4 linked regions of the Pelodiscus sinensis genome follow. The protein of the gene in region 3 interacts with the protein of the main gene of each other region in a pairwise test. Links are inferred from orthologs where the notes say so. Each region holds a gene or a part of one and is shown on either strand. Other genes may lie near its edges.

Evidence for each region.
Region 1: the proteins of BNIP2 (region 3) and BCL2 interact in a two-hybrid assay, tested with the Homo sapiens proteins (3 studies listed by BioGRID and IntAct). The link is inferred for Pelodiscus sinensis from reciprocal best matches to the Homo sapiens genes BNIP2 and BCL2.
Region 2: the proteins of BNIP2 (region 3) and FRK interact in binary tests that used the Homo sapiens proteins (3 or more experiments, as listed by UniProt). The two-hybrid records come from large-scale screens. The link is inferred for Pelodiscus sinensis from reciprocal best matches to the Homo sapiens genes BNIP2 and FRK.
Region 4: the proteins of BNIP2 (region 3) and KLC1 interact in binary tests that used the Homo sapiens proteins (3 or more experiments, as listed by UniProt). The two-hybrid records come from large-scale screens. The link is inferred for Pelodiscus sinensis from reciprocal best matches to the Homo sapiens genes BNIP2 and KLC1.

What each region holds. Positions count from the first base shown.
Region 1 is NC_134712.1:117,889,643-117,896,478, reverse strand, and holds the start of BCL2 (apoptosis regulator Bcl-2), read right to left. Parts: upstream 3,010-6,836; 5' UTR 2,325-3,009; coding exon 1,758-2,324; intron 1-1,757. UniProt on the Homo sapiens protein: Suppresses apoptosis in a variety of cell systems including factor-dependent lymphohematopoietic and neural cells. Regulates cell death by controlling the mitochondrial membrane permeability. Appears to function in a feedback loop system with caspases.
Region 2 is NC_134713.1:82,695,316-82,702,454, forward strand, and holds the start of FRK (tyrosine-protein kinase FRK), read right to left. Parts: upstream 3,009-7,139; 5' UTR 2,514-3,008; coding exon 2,080-2,513; intron 1-2,079. UniProt on the Homo sapiens protein: Non-receptor tyrosine-protein kinase that negatively regulates cell proliferation.
Region 3 is NC_134724.1:43,189,096-43,196,766, reverse strand, and holds the start of BNIP2 (BCL2/adenovirus E1B 19 kDa protein-interacting protein 2), read right to left. Parts: upstream 3,006-7,671; 5' UTR 2,889-3,005; exon of another isoform or gene 2,885-2,888; intron 2,783-2,884; exon of another isoform or gene 2,629-2,782; intron 848-2,628; exon of another isoform or gene 815-847; intron 1-814.
Region 4 is NC_134714.1:20,265,218-20,272,781, forward strand, and holds the start of KLC1 (kinesin light chain 1), read right to left. Parts: upstream 3,020-7,564; 5' UTR 2,731-3,019; intron 1-2,730. UniProt on the Homo sapiens protein: Kinesin is a microtubule-associated force-producing protein that may play a role in organelle transport. The light chain may function in coupling of cargo to the heavy chain or in the modulation of its ATPase activity.

The sequences.
Region 1 (6,836 bases), on a different chromosome or scaffold from region 3:
TATGCACAGCATAAACAGCTGTTCCAAAGAATGCTAAAGACTCATTTTGAAAAATGTTATCTTTGAAGGCTATCCTTCAGGTCCATGTTGAGGGGCTGTCCTGCAACTTTTAAGCCATATTTATAACCTTCAAAACAAGCTGGGGGGTTTTCCACATTTCAGTCGATATCACTGTCTTAATCACTTGTCCTGAAGTTTAACTTCAGAAGTAGAACACAAACATGGTAGAATGCCACAAATGCCTGCTCTTCCTACTAATGTCAGTCCACACGTTTCCCAGTCCCTTGGATGTAAAACACCCTGTGCTGAGAACCATGGGAGAGAATGGAGGATCTCAATATTTGAATAGACACAGCCACTGTGGATAAGTGATATTTCAGCATCTATAATCTTTAAGTACAGTAACAATTTATATATAGTTTTAAAAATGAATTTCATAAGCAAAATGCAGTAAGCAACTTAAAATTGTACTATATAACAAATCTCTCTCTATAAATATGCCACCTAGCAGACGGAAGTAGGGCCTTTAGAATCCCAGAACTATTCTATTTTCTTCTTTAAAATGACTTATGACAGCCCCCAGACTCATACATTAAGTTTTCTGTTGCAATGAGTCTTTTGCTCCTTGGATTCACAAATGCATTAAGGCACATCATACAAGATTGGTTTTATGCATACTGCAGGAATGAAATGAATAAAAGGAGAAAGCATCTTTCAATTGACAAAACTATTATTTGAGACAGAAACAGATGAGATTTGATTGTATGGATGAAAATGGTAGATTTTCTTTGCCTGTGGTTGAATTATTCCCTTCTAAAACCACCTCAGCCAGAGTTTTGGTTTGTTTTTAATCCCTGGAATTCATAAAATACTTCTTGCCTTTGGAATACACCAGGTTAAAGTTTTGGTTTGTTTTTAATCCCTGGAATTCATAAAATACTTCTTGCCTTTGGAATACACCAGGTTATAATAAATAGCATGCACTCTCCAGAAAACTGTCAGAGAAAGTTCCTCCCCACACTTTATTCTGCCTAACCTGAAATTGATTCAACACAAGCACTAGAAAAAGACAATTTAAAAATATTACTTTTAGCGTATGCAGTAAAATCTTTCTAATATTTTTATGTTATAAACACCAGATGATGCTCAGTTTAAACACTGCTCCATCTGATGATCTGTAATATAGAGTTCTCCTGCTTACAGCATTCTTGACTAACATGAGCATATACACAAAACACACACGCTTTCCTTTTCCCTCAACCTCATTCAAGCATTAGGCTATAGCATCATTCCTAGATATGTCACTGCTTTTCTTTCCCACACTGCTCTGTGAATCCATTCTACCATAGCGCAACATATACATATGATTTCAATGGTTAAAGTACATTGAAACAGAATGGAGAACGCTCACTGCACCAGCCAACAAGAAAGTTTGTTTTCAGTGTGTGCACATACATGCATACACCTCTTACCCAAGCTTTTAGCAAAGGATGGGGAACTGTGACCACTCCCACACCAAAACTCTAACTCCTGCATGACATGACATTCCAGAAGCTCCACACCAACAACAGCTATGCTGATAAACACTATAGTAACACAGACCAAAACACTGCCTTGCATTATGTCAATTAAAGTATATTATGATATTCATATTCTGGTCTATATAGGTTGCTATACTGCTTGCATCACTATAGTATGTGACCACATTGATGGAAATTCTACCATAATTTACAGAGAAAGAAATACGGGACACTTACCCAACCTCCATTGTCCTGGATCCAGTTGTGCAAGTGTCTGTTCAGGTACTCAGTCATCCACACAGCAATACTGTCCACAAGAGGCGACATCTCCCGGTTGACACTCTCCACACACATCACGCCACCAAATTCAAAGAAGGCCACGATCCTTCCCCAGTTAATCCCATCTCGGAATAGCTCCTCCACCACCGCCACAAAGCGCCCCCTGGCCGTGAATGGGGTCAAGTGCAGCTGCCCAGACATCTGGGCAAAATCTCTGTGATAGCGGCGGGAAAATTCATCTCCGGCTTGGCACAGAGTCAAGTGAACAGCCTGTGGTGCTGAGCGCAGCCCATCACCAAGGGGCACATTACTAGCAGCAGCCGAACCAGGGGGTTCAGGCGGCAAAGACACCAGCCCAGCATGGTCAGATGGGGTCCCAGCAGCAGCAGGAGGAGAGAGACTTGAAGAAACTGGTCCTCTGTTTTCATTGGCAGCCCAATCATACCCCCTCTGTGACAGTTTGTAATGGATGTACTTCAACACTATCTCCCGGTTATCATAGCCTCTTCTCCCAGGATGAGCCATAATTTCCAACAAGGACGAAGGAGAGAGGAAGAAGAGGAGAAGAATGAACCCAAAAAAGTAAAGTAGCCAATAACAATAATACCAAAAATTATAATCCAGTTATTGTATTTGATGTGGTTTCATTCATGATGGTAGCTCTGAGGTCTCAGAGGTACTTTCGACTTCTCGGTTTGGATGCACGTGTATTTTATTTCCAGAAGCACATGTTTACTTATTATATACTTATTTTAGAAACATTTTCTTCTTGATGCTGAAATACATTTTTTTTAAAAAATATCTCATACTTATTCAAAACAAGGTGCATACGTTCCCCAAGGTGCTGAACAAGCACATGTGAATGAAGGAGTTGAAGAACATAGACTGCAAAAACTGCAATTCAAACTGATTTGTTCAACAGCCTTGGATGAATATTAATCCAATACACTTTAAACTAAAAAATCTCAACACTGTTTTTTTTTTAATTACACAATGTAAATTTGCTGTGAAAAGTACTTACTTGAACTATAAATATGTTCCTCTGTCAAGTTTCCTTTAAAAAAATCAGAAGTCTTCAGACACATTAAGTTCTGGCTGCTTTGATGCTTCACAAGATCAAATCACCAAGGGGACAGGAAAGGGACAAAAACAAAACCCTAAGGATTTCAAAAAATATTTCCCCGCCTTCTGTTAAACAGACCTCTCCAAAGACATGTCAAAGCTCAGAATATCCAGCCTCAGAGCCCAGGAAAAAGAACAACCCAAAACAAAAAACAAAATTGTGAAGAGCAGATGAAACACACCTTTGACTCCAAGCTCTTGCAGAAGTGCTGCTGTGCTTTCCCCTCCAGTGCAAGGTACAGACACATGCAATTGAATACATGTAGTTTCATTCAGAGGCTGATCCCTAGGTGCAGCCCAGCGCTCCCACACACACACGTACACCCACACACTCAAAAAGGGAGCATCAAAATTGTGGCGGTTGCCTGAACTCCCGGGAGCAAATGCCTTCCCAAAGCAGCTTTGTTTGTATAAAAAAGGAAGAAACCCCCACTGTGCAGAGGAGGGAAGAGGATGGGGGCGTGTGTGGAATATTATTCATACAAATTAGGACCGCAGCTAGGAAGTTGTTCCCCGCTCCCTTTTCCCGCCCCAGCACCGGCAGCCTTGTCAGCCGCCCGGCAGAGCAGCCCCCTAGTCTGTCTGCAGTGGTGCTGCTGGAGCGCCAGTCCGTTCCGCGTCGCTGTGGCGGCCGGGGAAGCACAGGCACAGCGCGGCGGCAAGAGGAGGAGGGAGGCGGAGCGGAGCCCAGTGGCGGGGAGGAGACGGGCCGGGAGAGGCCCGCGCAGGAGGGGCGGGATCCCGAGAGCTCCACCTCGCTGTTCATTCAAGAAACGGGGAAAGGAAGGAGGCGATCGGCGTATCCCTGGCGGGGCGGGCCACATGCCCCGTGCGTGGCCGGGAGCAGCCTGCCGGGCTGCCTGCATGCTCGGCCGGCCGGGGTGTATGGAGCGGGGCTCCCTGGGAAAGGGAGGCGGGAGCGGGAAACGCACCGGGTGGCTCCTTGCTGTGGGCCGGGGCTGCAGCCACGCAGGGCCAATGCTGCGCTGGGCGTCGCGGGCCTGCTCCCCGCCGGGCGGTGCAAAGCCAGGACCGCGCGCTGCTCGCGGCTTCCCCTTGGCGCCGGCGGGGGCGGAAGACGCAGGCGGCTCCGGGGAGGCTGCGGGAGGCGCTGCTGCCTGCGCTCTTACCCAAGGCCGGCCCGGGCGCCGCGCCGGGGAGACGAGCCAAACACAACCCCCCAAACCAGCGCCGAGGCCTGGTGCCGGCAGAGGTGGAAAGAGGCCGGGTTGATACCTAACCCGAAATCCCAGCCAGCCCTGTGATGAGTTATGGGCTAGACGCTTCCGGGGCATGGCAGTGAAAGAGCAACCTGAGCGCGCTCCAGCAATGCTCTTACTTTCTCACTGACACACTGAGCCGGGAGGTGCCCGACTATATCAGCTGCCAACTTTAGGGGGGGGGGGCTCACCTCACATTAAGTGCTGGACATTTCTTCCCTCACTCATTTTTGTGCTTTCCATTTGGAGGGGGAATGCATTGCTGAAACCATTTGGAGTGAAAAGCTCTGCTCGTGGTGTAGGGGAATCCCTTTTGATCCTCCCCACTCGTGAGGATTAAGGACTGTTGAGTGGCAAAGACTCCAGACACACCATTAAGCGAACCTGGAAAGGTAGCAAGATGAGAAACATTTTATTGCAGAAACACACGCTCAAAGAAAAACTTAAAAACAACAAATGGTCCGGTAGCATTTTAAATACTAACAAAACATGTAGATGGTCTCATGAGCTTTCCTGGGCACAGCCCACTTCTTCAGATAACCAGAGTGTTGGATGCCCAGAACAAAAATAAATAGGGGAGGGGGGGAGAAGGAAAAAATAGGAGAGGGGGAAAAACAAGAAGATATAGTGGGTATAAAAATATCAAGGGGAAAGCTCAGCTGGAATGTAACAGGAAAAACAGTCTATAAGCACTTAAAGACTGGATAGTCAAAAGAGGCAGATAAGAAAGATGACTTCTAAGTTAATGACATGTTCATTGACCTTTTTGGCCTTTTTCACTAGCCCATGTGGTTTTTCTTCATTACTCCTTTGAAAATATTTTGGGGGCTATCATCTTAGATCCCCTTTGTGCAAATCCTTGTTCCTGGTTATTGTGCTTATTACTCTAATAGTCCAAATCTACCATCCCAGTTAGCACCATGCTATATAGTAAAATGTCTTCTAGGGTCTGTCTGTCCTGATCCTGCAGGGATTTATACACTTGCTTAATCTTATGCACATGAATAGCTCCACTGAGATCTAGACTCTATAGGACTACCTATATATAAAGTTTAATGCATGCATAAATCTTTCCCAAATTGGGGTCTTAGTTTGTACACAGTGTAGATTCTTGGAGTGGGAGGGGGGCAAGATAAATAAAAAAAATTGAGAGCAAATTAATCTAGAGACTGATTCAACACACACTTAAGATTACAGGAATCCTGCTGGGAAATGGGGTAAAATGCACTAGTGAAAAATCAACACTACTATTTTCCCTTGTTTACACCAGGGCTGTGTCTACACTGCAGGCTTCTTGTGCAAGAATGACTGTTCTTGTTCAAAAACTTGCAGAGCATCCACACTACAAGCCCATTCTTGCACAAGAAAGTTTACAGTAGCTAGAAGAGAGGGCTTTTTGCGCAAGAGATGGAAACAGGGAACCTCTATGGCTAAAATGGCCAGCAGAGCTTTCTTGTGCAAGAGAGCATCCACACTGCCATAGACCCTCTTGCTCAAAAGCACATCTCTTGTGCAAAAGCACATGGCAGTGTGGATGCACCCTTGTGCAACAACTCAAAGCACATCTCTTGTGTAAAAGCCCATGGCAGTGTGGATGCGCTCTTGCGCAAGAACTTTTGCACAAGAACTCTTGTGCAAAAAGTTCTTGTGCAAAAAACCTGCAGTGTAGACATAGCCCAGGGGTTTATAGTACAGCTACACTGATGGCTGGACACCCATGGTTGAAATTAGAATAAATCTCCAGTGTACACAAGATCAAAGTTAAATGAGAGGTGAAGGTACTTGGCACATCTAAGTATCAGGTTGTTAGCGTGAAAGGACAGAAACAGATTGCTAGAATGTTTAAAATGTTATTCTAAAGGATTTTCCTGTATCAACGCAAAATCTCTGTAAATCCTGAAGAATTAAATGAAAGGTGTTAACTGGAATGTTACCAACTATAGATCTAGATGGGAAACATATTTGAAATTTAAGATGAGAATTTGCTTGAATCCACAATCCCCGTCCTTTATTGGACCAACTTTTACTGGTGAGAGAAACAGTCTTTTCAGCTTGCCAAGAGCTTGTCTTCAGGATTAAGAAACATACTTTGAGTGTAACAGCTAAATACAAAGTGAAGCAGATTGTTTAGCAGAGACAGTTAAGACATATTTCAAGGGACCATTCAAAGTGAAGTGGCTGGTTAATACTTTTCCAGTTGTGGGAATGAAAAACTGGGAGCAGCGAGGAAGGTTGTTAATGTGTTATAGATTGTTGTAATAAGCCAGGACTCCAGAGTTTATTTTTAACATGTAGAAAAGTTATGAATTTACGCTCCCAGGTTCATCTTTTGATAGTGTTGTGCAGGTTTCCTTTGAGGATGGAGTACTGATAAGTCAAATAGAGAACAATCACTTTGAGAAAAAAAATTCATTCACATTTTTCTAACTAAGCCATTGTAAATTCACTAATGAAAGTTTTCTTACCACTTGTTGCCACCTGGTGGTTGCTTCTCCTTTAAAACATTTTGAAGTCACTGTTAAAGTGCTACATTGTCCTGCATTTTGCTTCAACTACCCCAGACTAACACGGCTACATTTCTATCACTATGGTGCTTGAGAGTTATTTTAAAGAGGCAGTATCAACAACTTGTCAAGTTTTAAATGTAGTTTCAGTTGCTAGTCATGCCCCCGAGCACCTCCGCTAAGTTTTGGAG
Region 2 (7,139 bases), on a different chromosome or scaffold from region 3:
CTGAATCAAATTATACAAATTAGTTTACAAAGTTGTGATTTGAAAACATGAATCTCTTTAGAAATTATAGAAAATGTTTGTAAAATACCCAGCCCTACACGCAAGTGATAAACCAGATTCAAATGCAAATTAAAAAAGAAGGAAATTAGTGACTGACCCACAACATTTCCATTTTAAATCCTAGAAAGAAGTAATTTCATTAACTTTTTAAGCTCCATCTCTACCCTTTTTATTTTTAATGTCCAGCAGAAAAAAAGTTTGAACCCTCTTATTTCTTCATGGTGTGGTTTGAGGGGGGGGGGGTTCATTTTCTGCTTTTTTCACATTCGAAATATCAGATCCTAGTCTACCAATATGTGCTAGAGGTATGTGAGAACAGCTACAGAAATTTTTAGAGTGTCTTTGGTGGTTGTGTTTCTTTGGTTTTGTTTTTAACTCTTACTTAAAATATCTTAATATTAAAACACTTAAAATTCTTGACTAATATTTTGGAGGAAAGACTCTTCAACCAAGAGTTGGAAAAATTCCCAGTGCAGGTTTTTACTATCCAATGGGTCCTCAAGCAGAAACATTGATCACAGCATAACGATATTCTTTCTCTTTTTAAAAAGTGGAGAGGTAAAACTTAAACACAGTAAAAGAAAAAATCTTGACACTATAAATATGTTATATGCAAATTATGCATGCTAGGGCAGATTATAAATATGAGAGAGACTGAGATAAATGAGATTCTGTTGAATAACAATTGAAGTTGATTTCACAATGTTTCCAGCTGTGACAAGAAACAGAAATCCTGGAAATCTTGCAAGAAAACAAGTTTTTGAAAGAGAGCGGCGGTCTTACTGAGCTGAAGTAGAGCATATTACAAACACTTCTCTTATAGCCCCAGACAAATGCTGTATTTGCAGATTAATGTTCATGGTTGCAAAGAGGCTTTTGAATATGAATGGAGGAAGTGCTGTCTGACTGACCGTACACACTAAGGTCTCCAGGGTAAAAGGGAGATGCCCTACACCTGCCCTAACAGGTCATTCCACTTGAGGATTTTCCCAACATGAAAGAATCTTCAGCTGGTAAATCAACTCTATGGCAATTCCCTGTGGCCCCAGCTAATGGGTAGGAGAGCATATTTCAGGGGGAAAGAAGATTTACCCCACACAGCTGTAGTACCATTCCTTTGAAGAGTGAAGTATGTCTTTGGCACTGTAAGAGATATTGATTGTCCCTACTCATCCAAATAGAAAGTGGCCTTTGGAACCTAAAAATGTCAGTTCTGTTAGCTAGTCATTTCAGTGGAAACATGCATCTATTTTGGGATAGTGGCCACAGCTTTTTTAGCAAACCCCTGTCTCAACTGCAGTGCATACATTGGATTCCCCACTCCTCTTCAAATCAGACTCCCAGTGAAATAATCTATTTCAATTAGATTCCTAGTCTGATTTTTCAGACTTAATGAGTTCAAATAACTTTTAGGCAAGAATTCTAGCCATTCATTCCTCCATTTACGGTACCATAGTGTAACTCAGATTTTGAGCTCTGCAAGGTGGGGATTTATTTATTCAGCACCACGCATTGCATCTATGATGAGATAGAAACTAACACAGATACCTTAGAAATTCACCCACCATTAGGAACAAAATGTGAGGGGATGTTTCCAGCTTCTTGCCCTTTTTAAGTAATTTACTCAGCTTTGGAATTATTTAAATTACAAGCCCTTTGGGAACAGATCCCTTATCTTTTTATTCTTTAGAAAGCACCTAGCATATTTTTACTGCTATATAAATAATAATCATAATAATTACCCGTACTAGCTGTGACCCACCTATATAATAAGGAAGTGATTAGGACATGTGGGGAAGGGAAGTGATTTAGAATGAAACAAACATCTGAATACTTTGCCTTATTTTATTTATTTGGGACTAGACTGTGATCTCGTTACTCATGTTAAGCAGTGCCTTGCACTACTGAGAAGACTTTTGGAACAAGGTACTAGTCAGTGTGAGAAAAGGTATTGCAATCTGTTCCTTCTATTAAGACAAGAGGAACAACAATTGTGCATATAATGTGGGTGTTACTTACGGCTCAGCCTCAATGCTCTGAACAGGAGCTACGTAGTTGGCGGGGATGTAGCCGCTGAGCGTCTGGCCAGGCTGGGTTGACCCACTGTCCAGGAGGAGAGTAGCGTACCACCAGCCCTCTGGAGATGTATCCAACACCTCGAGTTTATCTCCAGTTCGGAAGCTCAAATCATCTATAGTGCGGGCCTGATAATCAAACAGTGCCACAAAGTTGTGACGGTTTGTGGGCTTCTGATCACGCGGTGGAGGCAAAGGAATTCCAGCATCCACACCTGCCTGGGCAGTATTGTCTATCTGGCAATCATTTCCCCACAAGCCACGATTAACATGGCCTGTCTTATATTTCTCCCCCTCTCCTCCATCATCACTCTCTTGGAAGAGCCAAGGGGCACACCTCTGCATACAAATGCAATGCTTCCGGCAAAAGTTCCCCATGCTGCTCCTCTTGGTGGCTTCTTCTCTCCTCTTTATTTTTCTTTTCTTTTCCAAGTGGCAATATCTTTATACATAATTTAGCATTGTCATCCTTTTAGTTCTTTGCAGGATATTTTTCCTCCTGTGGCACAAGATGAAATAAATTTTGCTGTAGCTGGAAACTTTTCTTTCCAAAGTCCCACCGAGAGCTTGTTGCAGGCTGCTTCTTACTCAGGAGTGATACCTGAGCATTAAAGGGCAATAGTGCATGGGGGAGAATTGTTTGCTTCCTCTTTTGATCAGGAAAACAAAAAAGGACAGTGGTTGGGCCAAAATCTGGCAGCAAAAGAAAATCATTGATCTTGTTTGTCCTATCAAAAGAAAAAAAGTACAAATAATTAGAAATAATTTTAAAATCTTAGCGTTGACTCTTCTCAGAGCTGTACTACTTCTGAAGATTCTTCTTCTTGACCCATATGAGTGCCTGCTGTGGTCAGCACAGAGCCTTTCTGCACATTGTAGCTCTTGGTAATGAATAACTAACCCAGCCAGCCTGTTTTTTTCACAGCCTGAGACGTGGCTTGCCTGAATATTTTTATTTGCTTCCTGGTTTGCTTTGGTTTCTCTTCTCAGAGATATGCAAGTAGGCTACCTTGTGTCCCTCCAGTGCCTCCACCTGGGAGCACACCTGCTTCTGCTTTCAACATGTATGCTTACATTACCATATGTCAAAGCTTTAAAAATCCCCTTATAATCTCTGAAGTTCTTGAACTAGGTTTGACACTTTATAAAATGAAAAAATAAATATGGTGGGTACAGTAAAAGTCATATATTTTAATTCCTTCCTTATTCTTTGACTTAAAAATTAAACGCGCCAGCCAAAGAATCATGTTACACTGTTGAATTGTACCAGCCATACAGAATAAATAGGTATTATGCTAGAGAGACGAGGTGGGTTGGTAATCTTTTATTGGACCAACTTCATAACAATAGCCAGACCTAGGCACAACTTGGTATTTGAACACATTTGGGACAAAGCAGCAGCTTGGGCCAGATTCAGCATTGTACAGTCTGAGCGAGCAAAGCTTGAGAACACCACTATGGTGCACGGAATCTCTGGGGTGTGTCTGCAGGGAACACAGGAATTCCAGAATGTAGAAGAGTCAGACTGGGCATAAGAGGACATAACTGAGGGAGACCTGCACCCCTCTGGGCCCATTCGAGTAGGGCTTGCAGCAGCCCTAGTTAGTCTGGGCTGCAGCTACCCCAGTCCTGATAGCCCCTGAATGGCAGAAGTGCAAGCTGACTCTGTGCCAGCAGTAACTGAGTCTATACATACTTCTCACATTTACCTCTGTTCCACACTGAAGGTATGTCTACACTACAGAGTTTTGTCGGAAAAACAGTCAGTTTTTCTGACAAAACTTGAGGAACGTCCACACTACAATTGCATTCTTTCACAAATAAATCAAAAGAACTGCGGGGGTTTTCTGCAATTGGTAATCCTCATTCTACGAGGAAGAACGTCTTTTTGCGAAAGCACTCTTGCAAAAAGGCGTCTATGGATGAGGAAGAGGGAATTTTTTCAGAAGAAGAAGGAAGAGGAAAAAGCACAGGTGCCTTGGTGGCCATTCTGTCCATCGCAATCACTGCTTACGTGTGAGATAGCGTCCAGGCAGGCTGGACGCTATCTTTCAAAAAAGCACATCACTTTTTTGATGCACTTTTGCAGTGTGGATGCTCTTTTGCATGAAGTTTTTTTGGAAGATCGCTTCCGAAAAAAGCTTCTTGTGCAAGAAGCCTGTAGTCTAGGCATAGCCTGAATGAGTGTTTGATGATGTAATTTATTCCAATTACAGATGGTGACTAATGAACTGACAGAAAATGAGAGAATGAGGTAATATATTTCATTGGACCTATGAAGGGTTGTGCATGCAAGGCCCCTTCTGAAATGGTCATGAGATTCCTGTTCGGCCCTGTGCTTCAGCTGGTCCAGGTCTCCCAAGCAGATGACCTTGCCCAGCAGGATGGAGTTGATGGCCCTCACAACCTGCGGAAGGAGACAAACAAACACAACAGAGAATGAGAGGGGGTGTTCCTGAGCCCTTGGGAGGTGCCCTCCCATCTCCTCTTCTCCCCCCCTCAAATACCCCAGGAGATACCCCCTATGAGCCCAGCAGCAGGGCTGTGTGAGGGTGGGATGGCACAACCCCCTGGGGATGGGGCTTCCCCCCCAAGCCCACCCCTACAGCACTCCACCCTCCTTTCCCTAAGGTCCCCCTTTCCAGGACTTGCCCTCACCCCAAGGGACTGCAGCCCGAGGGTGCCTTATCTCCATGAGGAGGGCCCCAACGGTGGACTTCCCCACACCAAACTGGTTGCCCACTGACGGGTAGGTGTCTGGGATGGCAAGCTTCCAGACAGCGATGGCAATCCACTTCTCCAGGGGGATGGCGGGCCACAGGCGGGTGTCATGCCGTTGGAGGGCAGAGGCTAGGCAGACACATAGCTCCAAAAAGGTGGTCTTCCGCATGGAAGTTTTGGAGCCACTGCTGGTCATCCCACCGCTCCATCACCAGCCAGTCCCACCAGTTGGAACTGGTGTTGAGCCTCCAAAACCATCTCTCCACTGTGAAGTATGGTTGCCAGGGTCTTGTTCCCACACACAGGGAGAGAGTCTCAAAGATTAACTCGGTGTCAAGCTCGTGGAGGGCCTTGAAGGCAGCCTGCACAAACTGCTGCACAAACTGCAGCATGGCCCTGTGGGGCCATTGCATGCCAAGGGGCAACTCTGGCTTCATGTCACAAAGAATGCTGTGGTGTCCAAAAGCTGGGCAACCACAGCATACACTGCTAAAGCTTTGCTGGCCCTCAGAGTGATAGACAAGCACACAACAGAAGCAGAGAAAATATGTCCACGGGGGTCCCTTTAAGTGTGTCTCTCAGCTAGGCTTAGGCAACAGCACTCGAAAGCAACTGCTGATGTAATGTCCTGCCTGAACTGCTTCAGGGTGGCCTTAAATGCAAGATAGCGTCCAATCAATGTGGATGCTATCTTTAGAAAAAGCAGATCACTTTTTTTGATGCACTTTTGCTGTATAGACACTCTCTTTCGGAAAAAGGTTTTCCAGAAGATCGCTTCCGGAAAAGCTTCTTTTGAAAGAAGCCTGCAGTCTAGACATAGCCCCAGTCTATGCTTGCTCAACTCCACCACCTGCTGGAAACATATACATTCAATTGTAGGCATACCGAGGCCTTGAGTACTTTTGTCAGGTTATCTATTGGCTGCTCCAACCCCTGAGCAGAGGCAGGAAGGAGCTGACTATGCCACATGTGCAAACAGTGGCCCATGAGTGTTTCTTTCACATGAAATGTCTTAAAATGTAAGGCCAAATTCTGTCCTGATTTTCACTCCATGTATGCTAATTGACTTGAATAGTCTCACACAGAGTATTAGTCAAGCCAGATTTTGCCCTTTAATGTTTAATAACAGGAAACCAGAATATGTAACATAATCCATTTCCTAATCCATTGTGAGGAGTCAGTCATGAATAAGGAGCAACCAGTTTTACATTTGGAAAATGGGTAGCACCCATCTCTGATATTTTCAAATAAAACAAGCAATTGAGGCAAAGCCATAACTTTACACACATAACAAGGATGTTCCTCAGAATGTTTTTCTTGGTAACTGGTTTATAAAAATAGAGCTATAGGATGACTTTATAACAATACTATGCTACCCAGTGTAAACAATGCTGCCTTTCTTTAATTTCTTTACAGACACAGAACAACAGCAATTCATGTTTTTATGTTTAACTTTTCCAGGTCACTCTTCCACCATCAAATTTCAGCAAACCATTAAATTAATTGAGGGCTACAAAAAGGTTTTGGTTCCTCTTTTTGCATAGACAATTTGCTTTTGTGCCAAAAGGCATAGCAACTGTGGCTGCTATTTAATGAGTCATGTGAGCTATTTATTACATTTCTCTGACCAGTTAAAGAAAGCAAACTCAACATTAGAATTCATAGGTCACATGTAATAGAATGACTTTTTGTTACTACATCCCCTAGATTTGTTGCAAAATTCTTTAGATATATTGTTTGAGGTGCCTTTGCCAAAATTACTGGCCGTAGGTCTTAAATATGACCTTGTCCTCAAATCTGGGTATTTCCCAAGTACGTACCCAATATATTTGGCACAATGTGAAGTTTCACTGTAGAGATAATTTTTTCTTAGAAAGTTTATATTAGTGTCTGCAGTGTGTTCCTCCTGTTTTCTGTTCGTTTGCATTTTTTATGTAACTACACTTTGGGTATGTCTAGACTGCATCCCTCTGTTGGCAGAGGGATGCAGATTAGGCAGGTCGACATTGCAAATGGAGCAGAGATTTAAATATCCCGCACTTAATTTGCATAAAAATGGCCACCATTTTTGCCGACTTAGCACTTTGTCAGCAAAAAGAGGCAGTCTAGAGGGGGATCTGTCAAGAAAGAAAGCCTTTTTTGGCAGATCCTGTAAACTTCTCTGCAGAAAAGTGCCAGAATCTGTCGAAAAAAGGCTTTCTTTATCAACAGATCCCCCTCTAGACTGCCTCATTTTGCAGCCAAAGTGCTGAGTCGGCAAAAATGGCAGCCATTTTTATGCAA
Region 3 (7,671 bases):
AGTGTAGTTATCTTACCAGCTAAGCATGACATTTCAATTGAAATTGTCATTTAAAAAATAGAAAAATTTCATAATGATGACAATTTTGCTTTCTAGTCACAGTTAATATATGAAATCTAAAAATGGCATATTTCCTAATTCAACCAAATGGTTAGAAACTTACCCAGATTAAAAGCACTGTCACGTTTTACTGTACCTGAGCAAAACTCTTTTGTTTCTAAATTTGTATCATGAGGTTCAAAAATTGAAATAACTACTCATCTTCATCAAGTACTAGCTACCTGCAAAGTTGCAAGTCATTCCCACATCTCAAAAAGTTATAAGAATGCATTGTAATGAAGTTATAAAAATACTTGCTTCGTGAGAAGCATCTTGCAGCTCTAAAAATAGCTTTTACTGGGGAGGAAAAATATTATTATGAAATGGAATTCAATGTAATACTGAACTCTATGTAATGCACTGTACAGCAGTTATTGCTTTAGGTTTGTTAAAGTAATTTTGGCTTTGTACCTCATAATATAGCCCAAGGTGTTAAACATTTTAAAACACACAGTTTAGCATGTCTTATTGCTTAATAAACCAGTTATTTAAAGTAGCTAACAGGAACAGTTGTGCAATTAATAGATTTGGCAACCAGATTAAACACGGATATAGTGGAAGCGATGGATTTCTTTAATGACTTTCATGCTAAAATGTTGTTAGAAGATTAGCAATAATCACTGTAAATCAACGTAACAATCATTAGTGTTCATCAAATCATTAATGTAAAGAACTTTTACTTGGAAAACATAGAAGAGAGTTGTAAATGACTTACCTGGCAGTTTCCACTGAAGAAACTTGTGCATAACTGAAAAACATATTAAGTTACTGTTTCAGTTGTCAAACATCTATAGCATAGCTTGACTAAATACAAACAATGATCACTTAAAGGAAGATTTTGAGTTCAATTAGAAGTTCCCAAATATGATCTTCCAAGACTTAATAAATAATATGGTGCTCGTACCTTCTTGTTTCCAACTATTAAATTTATTAGAAGTTAACACTAAATTCTTTTCCTCACATTTTTTTTCATGTATTTACAGGCAGTCCCCGGGTTACGTACAAGATAGGGACTGTAGGTTTGTTCTTAAGTTGAATTTGTATGTAAGTCGGAACTGGTACATATTGTAGGGGAAACTCTAGCCAAACATTTCTCCAGAGCTCAGTTTTATTCTCCCACACCTCACTTCCCTCAGTCCTTTATTCTAAAGCTGAGGTGTCTGCTGAGAAAAGCCGCTCCGCATCTCCCTGGTGTTCTGGGGGAGGAGGGGCACTAGCTTCACGTCTCCCTGGTCTGCTGGGGGGAAGCAGCTAGTGCGGGGTTGCCTCACCCCGTTTGTAAGTAGGGATCCGATGCAAGTCGGATCCGTGTAACCCGGGGACTGCCTGTAATTGTTCTGGCTGCTTTACAGTTATCTGATCTCCAATGGCAAGGGGTAAGCCGTTAAATCATGAATGAAAAGATGGTCCAACAGAAGAGTCTAAAAAAATTGGGAAACTATATTAGAGTTCATAACTTTCAAGTTTTAAACAACTTCTATTGAACTACATAGAGAGCAGGAATGTAAGTATTTGATTGAAGTTTGAGAAAACTTCAGCGAATTTGGTATTCAAGGTGACAACTAGATTGAAAACAGTTCTTTATTTCCTGTATTTTAATGTGGTATGTCCACCTATTTACAATCTGAGTTACTATAAAAATTGCAGCAGCTTACAGGCAGTCCACGGGTTACATGGATCCGACTTACATCGGATCCCTACTTACAAATGGGGTGAGGCAACCCCGCACTAGCTGCTTCCCCCCAGCAGACCAGGGAGACATGAAGCTAGCCCCCCACCCCAGCAGACCAGGGAGACGCGGAGCGGCTTTTCTCAGCAGACAACTCAGCTTGAGAATAAAGGACTGAGGGAAGTGAGGTGTGGGAGAATAAAACTGAGCTCTGGAGAAATGTTTGGCTAGAGTTTCCCCTACAATATGTACCAGTTCCGACTTACATACAAATTCAACTTAAGAACAAACCTACAGTCCCTATCTTGTACGTAACCCGGGGACTGCCTGTATCTATCTATCTCTCTCTTATTTTAAACTAGAAATCAACACCAAAAAAATTTTTTTTGGTCAGTCTCCACAAAAGAGGATGACCATTTAACAAGTTTGGTCTCTTCTGCAGGATAACCACAAGAAGCTGTTCTCTTCTTTCAACATCTGCATTCTGGGAATAGGGAATTTATCTGCTCACATGATAGGGTGCTACGGTCATAAAAGCTGAAGGGCGTTAAGCAGGAAGACCAGGGGATGTTGACAGTACGAAAGAACACACCCCACGCCATTTCAGAGTGCGATTCCTGCCTGTTTCAGCCACACATGCTAAGGAGAGCGGGACTGAGCAGGACTCCTGACTCTGCCGAGCAAAGCTCAGCTACGACACCTAAGTACTGGTCTCCCAGTAGCGGTCCCATCGTTGCTTGCCCGTTTACGTTGGATAGCGCCGCTTCAGACGGCGGTTTCGCGTTGAGCCTGTGAAGGCCGCTTCCCCTGCCAAGCCCTGGCTTCCCGAGACAGCGCCCCACAGAAAGCGCCGAACGCACCGCGGCCAGAGCGCGCTCAAAGCACTGCGGACGTTGCCCAAAGCCGCCCGGCCCCGGCTACCGAGCGGCCGGTTCGACACCGGGCGCCACACACGGCCCGGCCCAGCTCGGGGAGGGGGGTGAACAAGAAACGCCGCCGCCCAACGGTTCCCAAGCGCCCCCGACTCCGTGACGCCCCTCAAGGGGGCACCCCCCCTCCACAGAGCCAGCGACTACCGACCCCGCCCCCCCAGCTCCCCCCGGCAGCGGGACATACCTACCGGGACTAGGTCCCTTCAGGAAACTGACAGACACCCCCTCCTCCCACCCCCGCCCCCGCGCTGACCCGGAACCGGATGGGCAGGGAGAAACCAGAGTCAGGGTCGCAGGAGCCGCGCGTTCCACGACTCCGCCAGGGGCTTTGCAAGTGAGGCGCATGCGTAGTGCGTCCGGCATCCCCCCCCCCACCCCAGAGACGCTGGGAAGCTGCTGTGAGCAGCGAGGGCTGCTGCCCGGAGCGGTCAGCGCGCGGGACTGCGCGTGCGCGCTCCGCCCCAGCCTGTCAGGCACCGAACTCCCAGCGCTGGGGGTGGGAGGGCACCAGGCTTCCCGGTTCCCAGCCGCGCGCCCCCTCGAAAAAGGCCCGTCCTCAGCGCTCCCAGCCTGGGAACAGTGAGAAGCGGGGCGGGCCTGGCAGAAGGGGCGGGGCGGGGCGGGGGGACCCAGTTTCGAACGGTCCGAAGACATCGCGCTAGGCAGTGTGGGGGCTGCGCCGCAGGAGCCGTTGGGGGAGCCGGGTCCTGTGCCACTGAACCAGCCCGGCCCTGAGGGCTGAACCGCTGCACGCCAGCGCTGGGCAGCAGCCCCCTGCCCCTGGGCCTGGGCAGGGCCTGCCACAGGGTAGGACGCTAGCGTCAGACTGGCTCCAGTTGTCACAGGTATGTCTGGCCTCAGCTCCCCTCCAAAGCAGGGGGAATGAGGGGCTTAAGTACTTTGGAGGATCTGGATCTCCCTGGGCTACCCAAGCCCCAGGGGATTTTGTAACTGAAAAGTAGTAGGTGTCACATACAATACTTACGTTGGTAAGAAATGATTCCCTCGACGGCACATCAATTTCATCATAAAATTCTAAACATTTACCAAAAAGCATTTTTTTTTAAAGCAGGACATCAATTCTTGTACTTCTAGACACGGGAGGTTCATATATGGCTGTATCAAACAAGACCCACTTCTTGACAAAATCAATTTCCAAGGGATGAAGTGTCCCTGCCTCCCTCTACCCCCTGCAAAAAAAAAAAAAAAAAAAAAAAAAAAAAAAACCACTGCAAAAAAGAGTAGTGGTTCATGCGCCAGTCAGGGAATTCACTATTCTGGACAAATCAAATCAGATGTCAAAATGATCAAATGTGTGTCCTAAAAGTTAGGCACCTAAATAAAGTGTAAATAAGTGACCTAATTTTTTAGAACTGCAGAGTCTCAGACTGTTTCTACATTGGCGCAGTCTTGCGCCAAAGTGGCTGCTTTTGCGCAAAAACATACTGCCTGTCTACATTGGCGGGGAGTTCTTGCGCAAGAACACTGATGTTCTAATGTGTGAAATCAGTGCTTCTTGCGCAAAAACTATGATGCTCCCACTCAGGAATAAGCCCTCTTGTGCAACTGTTCTTGCGCAAGAGGCTAGTGTAGACAGGCAACATGAATTTCTTGCGCAAGAAAGCCCGATGGCTAAAATGGAGTCAGCTCTTGGTCAATTTCAGCAGCGGCTGACTTGGGGACGCCTGGGGCAGAGCAGCTGGGGTGCTGCTGGGTTGGTCCCGCACCGCCGCTCCTCAGCGCTACTGGATCAACCCGGCAGCACCCCAGCTGCTCTGCCTCAGGCGTCCCCAAGTCAGACGTTGCTGATACTGAGTGAGTCAGCCGCTGGTCAATTTCAGCAGTGGTCAATTTCAGCACCGAGGAGCGGCGGTGCGGGACCAACCCAGCAGCACCCCAGCTGCTCTGCCCCAGGCGTCCCCAAGTCAGCCGCTGCTGAAATTGACCAAGAGCTGACTCCAGAAAGCCTGAGGCAGAGCAGCTCTGCCTCGGGCTTCCTGGAATCAGCCTCTGGTCAATTTCAGCAGCGGCTGAATCAGGACGCTTGGGGTGCTGCCGGGTTGGTCACGCAGCCCCCAGGGGCAGCGCCCCAGCTGCTCTACCTCCGGCTTCCCCGATTTAGCCACTGGTCAGTTTTAGCAGCGGCTGAATAGGGGAAGCTGGGGGCAGAGCAGCTCCAATGGTCCGGCTGCGGAGCACTTCCGGGTTCCTGATGGTGCTGGACCATCAGGAGTGCCGGACCGTCAGATGCCGGACCAATGGAGTTTAACTGTATATTGCTATGCTTTATGAATCAAGGGAACATGAAGGGGAGGTTAAAGCGACTGGGACTTTTCAGTTTAAAAAAGAGGAGACTGAGGGGGTATATGATAGAGGTCTATAAAATCATGAGTGGTGTGGAGAGGGCCGATAAAGAAAAGTTATTTATTAGTTCCCTAAATAGAAGAACTAGAGGACACCAAATGAAATTAATGGGTAGCAGGTTTAAAACGAATAAAAGAAAGTTCTTCTTCACACAGCGTGTAGTCAACCTGTGGAACTCCTTGCCAGAGGAGGCTGTGAAGGCTAGGACTATAATAGAGTTTAAAGAGAAGCTAGATAATTTCATGGAGGTTAGGTCCATAAAAGGCTATTAGCCAGGGGATAAAATGATGTCCTTGGCCTCTGTTTGTCAGAGGCTGGAGAGAGATGGCAGGAGACAAATCGCTTGATCATTGTCTTCGGTCCACCCTCTCTGGGGCACCTGGTGCTGGCCACTGTCGGTAGACAGGATACTGGGCTAGATGGACCTTTGGTCTGACCCAGTACGGCCGTTCTTATGTTCTTATGCACTCAGTGTCTCTAAAATGTAAGTTAACTCACATTCAGAATGCATCTGATGAAGGGGGTTTTATCCATGAAAGCTTATGCCCAAATTAACGTTAGTCTTTGAGGTGCCACAGGACTCCTTGTTGTTTTCACATTTAGAAAGGGCTTTGAGACCTTTGGAGTTGTACCATTTTAGATGGCTAGATAGAACACTTATGCCACTACTATATTAATCATAAACCTGCAGAGAAATTATATTTTTCTGACCACACACATCACTAGGACTTTCACCTATTACCACATTATCCTTTACCCTTTCAGAAATAGTGAAGTCATCTATCTTTCCCATCAGAGAGTTTGAGGTAGTCCTCCCACAAAGATCTTGTTTATGCAACAACAACAAGAATTGTCTATAGTCTTTTCCAGCACAAGTACATCTGAAGTACTGCAATCAACAGATACAATGCTAGTGTAAATGGACTCAGGCATTTTTACCATCACATCATGAAAATCTGACTATAACCTTTCACATAAGCAGGCTTTTATAATGTTGAGTAAAAACTCCTCAGCACTGTACACACTAAAGCTTACATCATGTCTAATAGTGCATCTAAACTGTTGCTGAAAAATGGGTACAAACTTCTCTAGGGCAGGTGCAATCAGAGATTCAGATCAACATAGAGTCATTCACTCAACCTATTCTGAGTGTCGCTAGCTTTATAAAGAGCTTAGTACATTGCCACCGTATTGAGACAGGTGCTAACCTAGCCAGTTTCTCTTCACTTACCTTATGGTAGCTTGTCGAGACAAAGGTGGAAGGGTACAAAAATGAAGTCAGTTTGACTGTTTCAGGAGAAGGAGGAGGATCAATATAAAACTTAACTGTCAATACATGAGTAAGAATAAGGGGGAAATATGGAGGAAATAAGAGGGGGAATAGATTTAAAGGTGTGGAGGAAAAGAAAAATGAGCAGAGAAAAGGAAAAAGAAGACAAAGGTGAAGAAAAATATGACAGAGCACAGAGACAAAAGAAGTGCAATTAATAAGATAATAAGGTCACCACTCTCAGGACCTTACATTATTTGTTTGTGCAGAGGTTAGCACAATGGCCCCTAATATATATTGGGGCCTACATGCACTACTATAATATATGGCTAGACTGGCATGATTTTCCAGAAATGCTTTTAACAGAAAAGTTTTCCGTTAAAAGCATTTTCGGAAAAGCACATCTAGATTGGCACGGACACTTTTCTGCAAAAGCACTTTTTGCGGAAAAGCGTCCGTGGCCAATCTAGATGCTCTTTTCCGCAAAAAAGCCCCGATCGCCATTTTCGCGATCGGGGCTTTTTTTGCGCAAAAAAAATCTCAGCTGTCTACACTGGCCATTTTGCGCAAAAGTTTTGCGCAAAAGGGACTTTTGCCCGAACGGGAGCAGCATGGTATTTCCGCCAAAAGCACTGATTTCTTACAGTAGGAAGTCAGTGCTTTTGCGGAAATTCAAGTGGCCAGTGTAGACAGCTGGCAAGTTTTTCTGGAAAAGCAGCTGATTTTCCAGAAAAACTGGCCAGTCTAGACACAGCCTCTATGTTTAGTAATAAATAATAAAATAATTCAGGCAAGAGAGGGTTTAAATAAGGAAGAGTTGGGTGTGTAGATACAGAATGGAAAATGCAAGAAGCTGAGATTTGAAAAATATAGCAAAAGGGACACAGATGGTAAATACTCACCTCCTACCTTGACGGTACATGGTACATCCCCATTTTTACTCTGGGAAGAAGAGTACATTAAAGAATAAGTTGGGATGGGCATTGCTTAGTTGAGAAGTGCATACGGATACCATATTTTCTTTCTTTGCCCCCTGTCCTTTATATACCTTGAATGCCAGTCCAACTTTGAAACATCCCTCACTCTCTAAAAAAAAAAAAAAAAAAAAAGAATAGTCTTGCAGCACATTAGAGCAGGGGTTCTCAAACTTTGTGATACCGCGACTCCCGTCCAAGTTGCTCACGACCCTCCAGGGGGTCGGGACCCACAGTTTGAGAGAAACAGTCTTAGAAACTAACAAAAAATGTAGATGGTCTCATGAGCTTTTGTGGGCACAGCCCACTTCTTCAGATCTCCCTCTTCATGTCATCCCAGTATTCCTTACTGAAGATCTGGTC
Region 4 (7,564 bases), on a different chromosome or scaffold from region 3:
ACATGAAGATAAAGAGTGGCTGCTCAAATCCAAATGTCTCAAGAAACACACAACTTTCAATGAAAAAATTTTGAGACTAAATTTGAAGATACAATGAAGTCTTCCAGGGACACCCAGCCAAACAGGAGACCCAAAAACACGCAGAGGCGCAGAAGAAAGTATATATGTGAGAATTTTGTGACAACCTCATGGAAAGCTCCTCCATCAGCATAGCAACAGCAACTGATTCTGTATTTTAAAGGTGCCTGTACAATACTATTTCGGTTCTCCTGCTTTAATAAAGTAAATATAAAGATTCTTCCTCTTAAATAATTTAGATGCCTCATTTGAAGTTGCATACACCATTACTCTTATGCTGATAAGCTAGATTTTTCTTATTTTGTCTAAACTACCAGGCCGCTTAGCCTCTCATTTTGCCTTGATAAATGGCACATGCGAATAGTTCAATGCTATAATGCTTAAAAGATAATTTAAAATATATAACTAACATCTTATTTATTTTCCTTGATTGTAAATGTTATTTGATAGCAATATTGTTTTTATTAAAAGGAACAGGAAATAAATATAATGTTGATAGATCCTCATATTAATGGGATTGTCCATTCCCATCATCCTCAGAGGAACAGAAAGACTTCCAAACTTTTTAACTGCAACATGATGCAGAAGTGATACTGCATTCTGGTGTGACTTTGAGGAATTGATTATTATAATCCTCTGCCCCTCCCCACATAAGTCTGCTGAGCTCTGAACACAACATAATACTTCTCCAAATTTGCTATAATTTCACAGCAGTTTCCTGTTAAGTAACATGTTAACTATAAAACTGTTCTGCTGACTGAAAAAAACATGAAAGTCCTGTGCTCAATTTCAGCTAATGGATCTGCTTCCTCTCTATTGTCTATGAATGTTAAACTTGTTACTCAATACTATTATTAGTCCTGTGGTTTGGTTATCTTCAATTATATTGTATCCCAGCTATGGAATTAATAACCAATTAAAATAAAATTATTTGCCAAATATGATTTTTGAATAGAAGCTGAACTCAAAATTGTAGCCAACTTTTTTCAATGTTTGTATCTGGAAAAAAATTTCAAGAATGATCTTGTGTGCTAATTTGGACGAATGTTTCCTATGCAAGGTGTAGCTATAAACAAAAATAAATGAGACATCCACCAAATGAAATACCATAACGCACCATGCTTGCTCCTATTGTCACAGCAATACAGATTTATAATATTTTAAGAATCTTTGCTTTTTAGTAAAATCATCCATATTTTAAAATAAACATAGTATAAATTAATTTATACTATCTAGGATGTTTGCTTACTTTTTTATTTCTCATTTTATACAATGCAAACTAATTTCACATTTGTTTTAGTCCGTTTTGCTTACTGCATTACTGTTATGTTTAGTTTTGAAATGATATAGAGAAAAAATATAAATCAAAGAAAAATAAGCAGAAATATATATGCTTTTGTACATTTAATTATCACTTAATCATCAAGATATGATCCCCAAGATACCCTGAACAAAGCATACTACAGAAATGTAAGGCTTACATTTGTTATTTGAGAATTTAATTGACTATAAAGGCTCACTCATTATACAGATAATATGTCATCTAGAAAAAAAAAACAGTCACATTCTTACAAACTAAATTATTTGTTTGAGGGGGTCTGGAAGACTCTGATAAGAAAAGAAGCTTCACCTATGAAGCTACAAAACCTGATGTACATTACTGTTATTTCATTCACATTAAGTGCAGCTTATTGAAGAGTTGTGATTTGGGTTTGTTTTTAAATCTTGCAACTATGATTGGCTTCTGGGGTGAAGACCTCATACATAGAGTCTTAAAGTATAACAATAAAGAGGTATATAAAGGTAACAATCTATGGCTGTTGCTTCTGTAATTTATATAGCCAATCACCACACACGAAAATTCAAGAGCTGTCATTACTGTTCTTTCAGTATTTCAGAACTAGCAACCAACCAACCGAACCATCTATCCATTTTGCAAATAAAGACATTACAAGGGAGGGAATAGCTCTTTATCCCACAACTCTGTCCAGGGTTTCCTCCTTGGGCATCCTCAGGCCCTAACTGCAGCACTGGAGGAAGCCAGGAAAGAGCAAGAAAAGAAGAGAAACAACAACAAAAAAGCTGCTCGCAATCCAGACGAACAGGATCCCTTTCTCTCAGCATCTCTTCAGCAGAATCACCAGTACAGTCACTGCCAGAGCAGGTCCTGGGATTGACAGACATACTGAAGAGGCTGGCTGTAACCATGAGCTACAGAAGGACCGTCAGGCCAACAAGACCTGCCCAGCCTTTTGTTCTGTTTGTGTCATGGGAGAAGGGAAGGGAGGTGAGGTTCAGCGCTCATGGAAAATGGCAAAACACGGACTAACCCCACCCCTTGTCAACCGCCTCCTGCTGCCTCTCTGCACACGCCCCCTACCCACTCCCACCCCATACCCTCCTGCGCTGCCCCAACCCCCGACAGACACAGGGCTCGGCCCCATCCCCCCGCTCTATCCTACTCCAACACGCCGGCCTTGTGCCCATCACCCGCCCTGCCGCCCTCAGCCCCCGACACTCACAGGGCTCGGCCCCAGCCCCCCAAGCTCTATACCCCCTATTCACCAACCCGCGCCCCATCACCCGCCTTCCCAGCCCCCGACAGGCACAGGGCTCGGCCCCAGCCGGCCTCTTCCCTTCTCCCTCACTCACCGCTCGGGTGCTGCAAGCGGAGGCGATGCGCGCAGGGCTCGGCGAGGCGGCCGGGCTCCTCACCCCGGGAGGGCACCGGAGGGGATGTCGGTGGGGGGAGCAGGGCGGCACCACCAACCCCAGCGGCTTCCCCGCCCGCCGGCTGCCGTGGGCGCGCCGGTAGCCGGCGCGGAGCCGCCCGCGGGAGACGCGCTGACAGTTGCGGGCAGTAAATGCCGCCGCCGCCGCGCGTCCCCTTCCCGGCTCCCAGCCTGTGCGGCTCGCTCCGCCCCCCACCGAAAATGGCGGCTCCTCCCGTCCCACAATGCTCCGCGACCAAACCCATGACGTCATCCCTGGGGTGGGGGCAGGAGCTTGCCGCGGGGCGCGTGCGCCGGCAGGGCCCTTCGCCCCGCCTATGGCAGCAGCAGGAGAGTGGCGAGGCGCTGGGACTACCACAGCCCCCTCTGCTGGCCAAACGAGGAGACTTCTCCGAGAGAAGGGTCCGCCTGCAGGGAGAGGGGGTGTCCGGCAGGAGCAATGGTCAGGAAAGTTCCTCTTGACCAGCTCTGTTCTCCCTACTCCGTCTCCAGCCGGTGCAGTGGCGAGATTTTAAGAGTGGTCCTCACTTTAGCATGCTCTGGCTCCAGCGTGTAAGGCTCCCAAATTTACTAAGGTGATTTTGGCCCATGGTGCAGGAGGTACCCCTCCCTTGCCTTGCAATTAGTTTTGCTCCTAATCAGTCATGTCTCTTCAGTCTTCCCATCAGTTCATAGCCCCCCTGGGTTCTTCCTCCCATCCTTCTAGACCTGGAGAAGGAGGGTTACAGAAAGATCTCTCTCCTTTCCAGGCTAACCTGCTCAAAGGGCTCTTCCTCCCTGCTCTGCCTCTTCTAAAACCAGCTGGTGCAGGGAGAGAGAGGGACAGGAGGAGTCAATCAGCCATCCTCTTTTCTGGTAAGAGGGGAGATATCTCCACTCCCCCTTCCCTCTTGTGAGAAAGTTTCAAATTGCTACAAAGAGAGAGGAGAGCACTCTTTCTACAACAACTGTGATTGACTGTTTTGCTCCATCAGTCAGCCAAGTTAAAGAAGGCAACTAATCAAAGGGGTTTCAATGCAGGTAGAGCTCAAAGTTGCTAGCAGGAAGGAGCTTCTGGGAAAATGTCTGGTCACATTTACAGTTAAACATATATACACAAACAGGTCAACTGCCCACTAATGGTTAATTATCTATTGGAAGTTGCAGTAAGGATGTTAAAATGCAGATAATCAGTTAATCAAATTAAATTTTCAAAAACTATTCAATTAGGGGATAGCAGCTGCAGCTCTGCAGTTTAAATGTAGTAGGAGCCAGGTACCAGCTCCTACTCTCCTGGCAGCGGGAGAGGAGCAACTAGTCGAGTATTGACTTGACTACCCTGTAAGCCTAGGCTTATCAGGTAGTTGACTAGTCACTTACAACCATAAATTGTAGCAGGGAGCTACTGAGTAGAGTTCTAGTATTCGCTAGATAATAAATAGGAAGCTACCAAAGGTTGAGTCTAGGGGCAGCCCATGAGCCTAGGCGAACTAGGCAGTTGCCTAGAGCGCTGCTGGCCCGGGCGCCCGATGATAACGTCACGACCATTGATGGCGGTACAGGCAGGGGCGCCAATTGCGCTGCCTGCTTGGGGCGCCAGCTGCCGCAGCCGGCCTCAAACCGCTCCTGGTTGAGACTCTTCACATTATGGGAGCTAACAGGGTAGCTCTACAGAAATGTGAGAATATGAGGAGGAAGAAGTAGAGGACAACCCTATATCCAAGCTAAACATTAAGGCTTCGTCTACGCTGGCAGCTTCTTGCACAAGAACTCTTTTGCAGAAGAGTTCTTGTGCAAAAATTCTTCCACAAGAGAGCATCTACACTGCCATGTGCTTTTGCGCAAGAGCATCCATGGTAGTGTAGACACTCTCTTCTGCAAGAAAGCTCTGATGGCCTTTTTAACCATAGGGACTTCTTGCTCAAGAAATTCATGTTGCCTGTCTACAATGCCCTCTTCTGGAATAGTGATAGAAATGTAGCTGTGTTAGTCTGGGGTAGTTGAAGCAAAATGCAGGACAATGTAGCACTTTAAAGACTAACAAGATGGTTTATTAGATGATGAGCTTTCGTGGGCCAGACCCACTTCCTCAGATCAAATAGTGGAAGAAAGTAGTCACAACCATATATACCAAAGGATACAATTAAAAAAAATGAACAAATATGAAAAGGACAAATCACATTGCAGAACAGAAGGGGGATGCGGGGGGGTGGGAAGGGGGAGGAAGGAAGGTAAGTGTCTGTGAATTGCTGATATTAAAGGTAGGGAGAGTGGGATGTTTGTGAGTTAATGGTATTACAGGTGATAATTGGGGAAACTGTCTTGGTAATGGGTGAGAAAGTTCAAAGTCTTGTTAAGTCCTTGTTGGCAAGTGTCGAATTTTAACATGAATGACAGTTCAGAGGATTCTTGCACAAAAGGGCTTATTCCTTATGGGGAGAGGAATAACTCTTCTGGAAGAAGCCCTGTTTTACAATGCTATACAGTAAATTTACTTCTGGAAGAATGCTCGTGCAGTGTAGACAACCGGCAAGTTTTTGCGGAAGAACGGCTGCTCTTCCGGAAGAAACTGCTAGTGTAGATGTAGCCTAAGAGTTAGAGGGTAGGGTTGCCACGTTTCTAATCACAGAAAATCAAATACCTTTGCCCTGCCCCTTCTCCCAAGGGCACCCCTCCACTCTTCATCACCCTTTCTCTGTTGCTTGCTCTTCCTGCTATTCATTCACTTTCACTGGGCTGGGGTGTAGTACAAGAGGGCGGTCCAGGCTGAAGTTGAGGGGTTTGGAGTACAGAACTGGAGCAGGGAGCTTGGACTTTGGGGGGGGCAGGCTCCAGCAGGGAGTGTAGGCTCTGGAGTGGGGCTGAAGCTTTTGAGATGCAGAAGGGGGCTCAGGGCTAGAGTGGGGGAGGAGGTGTGGCTCTAGGAGGGAGTTTGGATGCAAAAGGACACTCGTGGATGGGGCAGTGGGTTGGGCTGCAGGAGCGGATTTTCGGTGTGGGCTCAGGCAGGACTTATCTTGGGGGTTCTTCCAAAAGAGATGATATATCCCTTGGCTCCTAAGCAGAAAGACGAGCAGGCAGCTTTGCACTGACTTCACCCACAGGCATTATCCCTGCAGCTTCCATTTGCCACAGCTCCCATCATTGGGAACTGCAGAGTTGATGCTGGGAGAGAGGGCAGTGCCCAAAACTTCCCTGATTGTCCTTCTAGCTAATGGTCACAGGGACATGCTGCCCATTCCTGGAAACTACCTAGAGCCAGGGCGGGCAGGGAGCCTGCTTTAGCCCTACTGCACTGCTGACCTGACTCAAAGGCCTGGACAGAAGTGATAACTGGAGTCACCGGGACCCCTTTTTGACTGCAGTTTTTGACCAGGACATCAATGACTAGTAGGGGAATCAGATCTACTTGGTCTGGCAATCCTAGTAGGGGAATCAGATCTACTAGGTCTGGCAGTTCGATAAGTTTTCATGAATATACATAAGATTTAATTAAAATTTGAACATCCTCATTATGCAAGACAGCTGATGCAAAGAACTGCTTCTGTCTTTTGGCTAAACAATATTCACTATCTCTTCATCACCCATAAAAAAATTCTGTAGTTACTAATTTGCCCTAGAGACTCGAATGGCTCTGAATAAAGCAACTACTCTAACATGGCCAGATACATAATGCATATTATATATAGTTTTGATTTCTGCTAAGTAGTAAATATTTCATAAACTTCCAGTCAGACAGGTATCTAATTTGCTAGCTAATCATGTGTATCAGAAAAGACTTGGACTATGTGCTTCTGCAGCAAGCTTCCACCTGATTTCAAATACAATACAAGCCCCTTCCATGAAAGGTCTGCTGGAATAGGCTTCTAAGAGTATGAAGCCCTGCAAAGCTAAGTTATTCAGGGTTTGGTTTCAGCCCTAGGAGGCAGGGCTCAGAGTCTGTGGCATCAGCCTTACAGAGCGGCACTCTGGCTTTCTAACACCCTGAAACCTACTTTTGGCCCCCATGAACCCCAAACATTATGCTTTGGTTGGAACCTGGGCTGCTCCTCCTTTGGAGGGTAGCAGCATTCAGGACCAAACATCTAACCCAAATTTATGGCCCTGTAGCCTGAGCCAGTGGACACAGGCCAGCCCTGAGTGTTTTATTGCAATGCAGACTTACCCCATGGCTACGTCTACACTGCAGGCTTCTTGCGCAAGAATTTTTTGTGCAAGAGTTCTTGCACAAGAGCGCATCCACACTGCCATGTGCCTTTGCGCAAGAGATGTGTTTTTGTGCAAGAGCATCCATGGCAGTGTGGACGCCCTCTTGCGCAAGAAACCCCTGTCCCCATCCACACTGCCTTGCGCAAGAGGGCTTATTCCTCATAGAGGAATAACTCTTGCGCAAGAAGCCCTCTCTTCTGATGCTTTACTGTAAATTTACTTGTGCAAGAACATGCGTGCAGTGTAGATGCTCTGCCAATTTTTGCGCAAGAACACCTGTTCTTGCACAAAAAGCCTGCAGTGTAGACTTAGCCCAAGAGCCTACTGGAGACTGGAAAAAAAGATAGCCATTTACATAGGAATTGATTCTGGTTACACCAGCAGTAAATCTTTTCCTTGCCTGCTCTTGCTTAAGGAGCAGTGTAGGTACAGAACAGTACTTTTAGAGTGAAGTGGCCTGCAGACCCTCGTGGAGAGGAGGGTCATTAAAAGGCTAGGCCAAGTCCTTATGATTCTGTGCAGACTTTCCAGGGATGTGGTAGTTTTGACCATGAAGGAGGGGATGT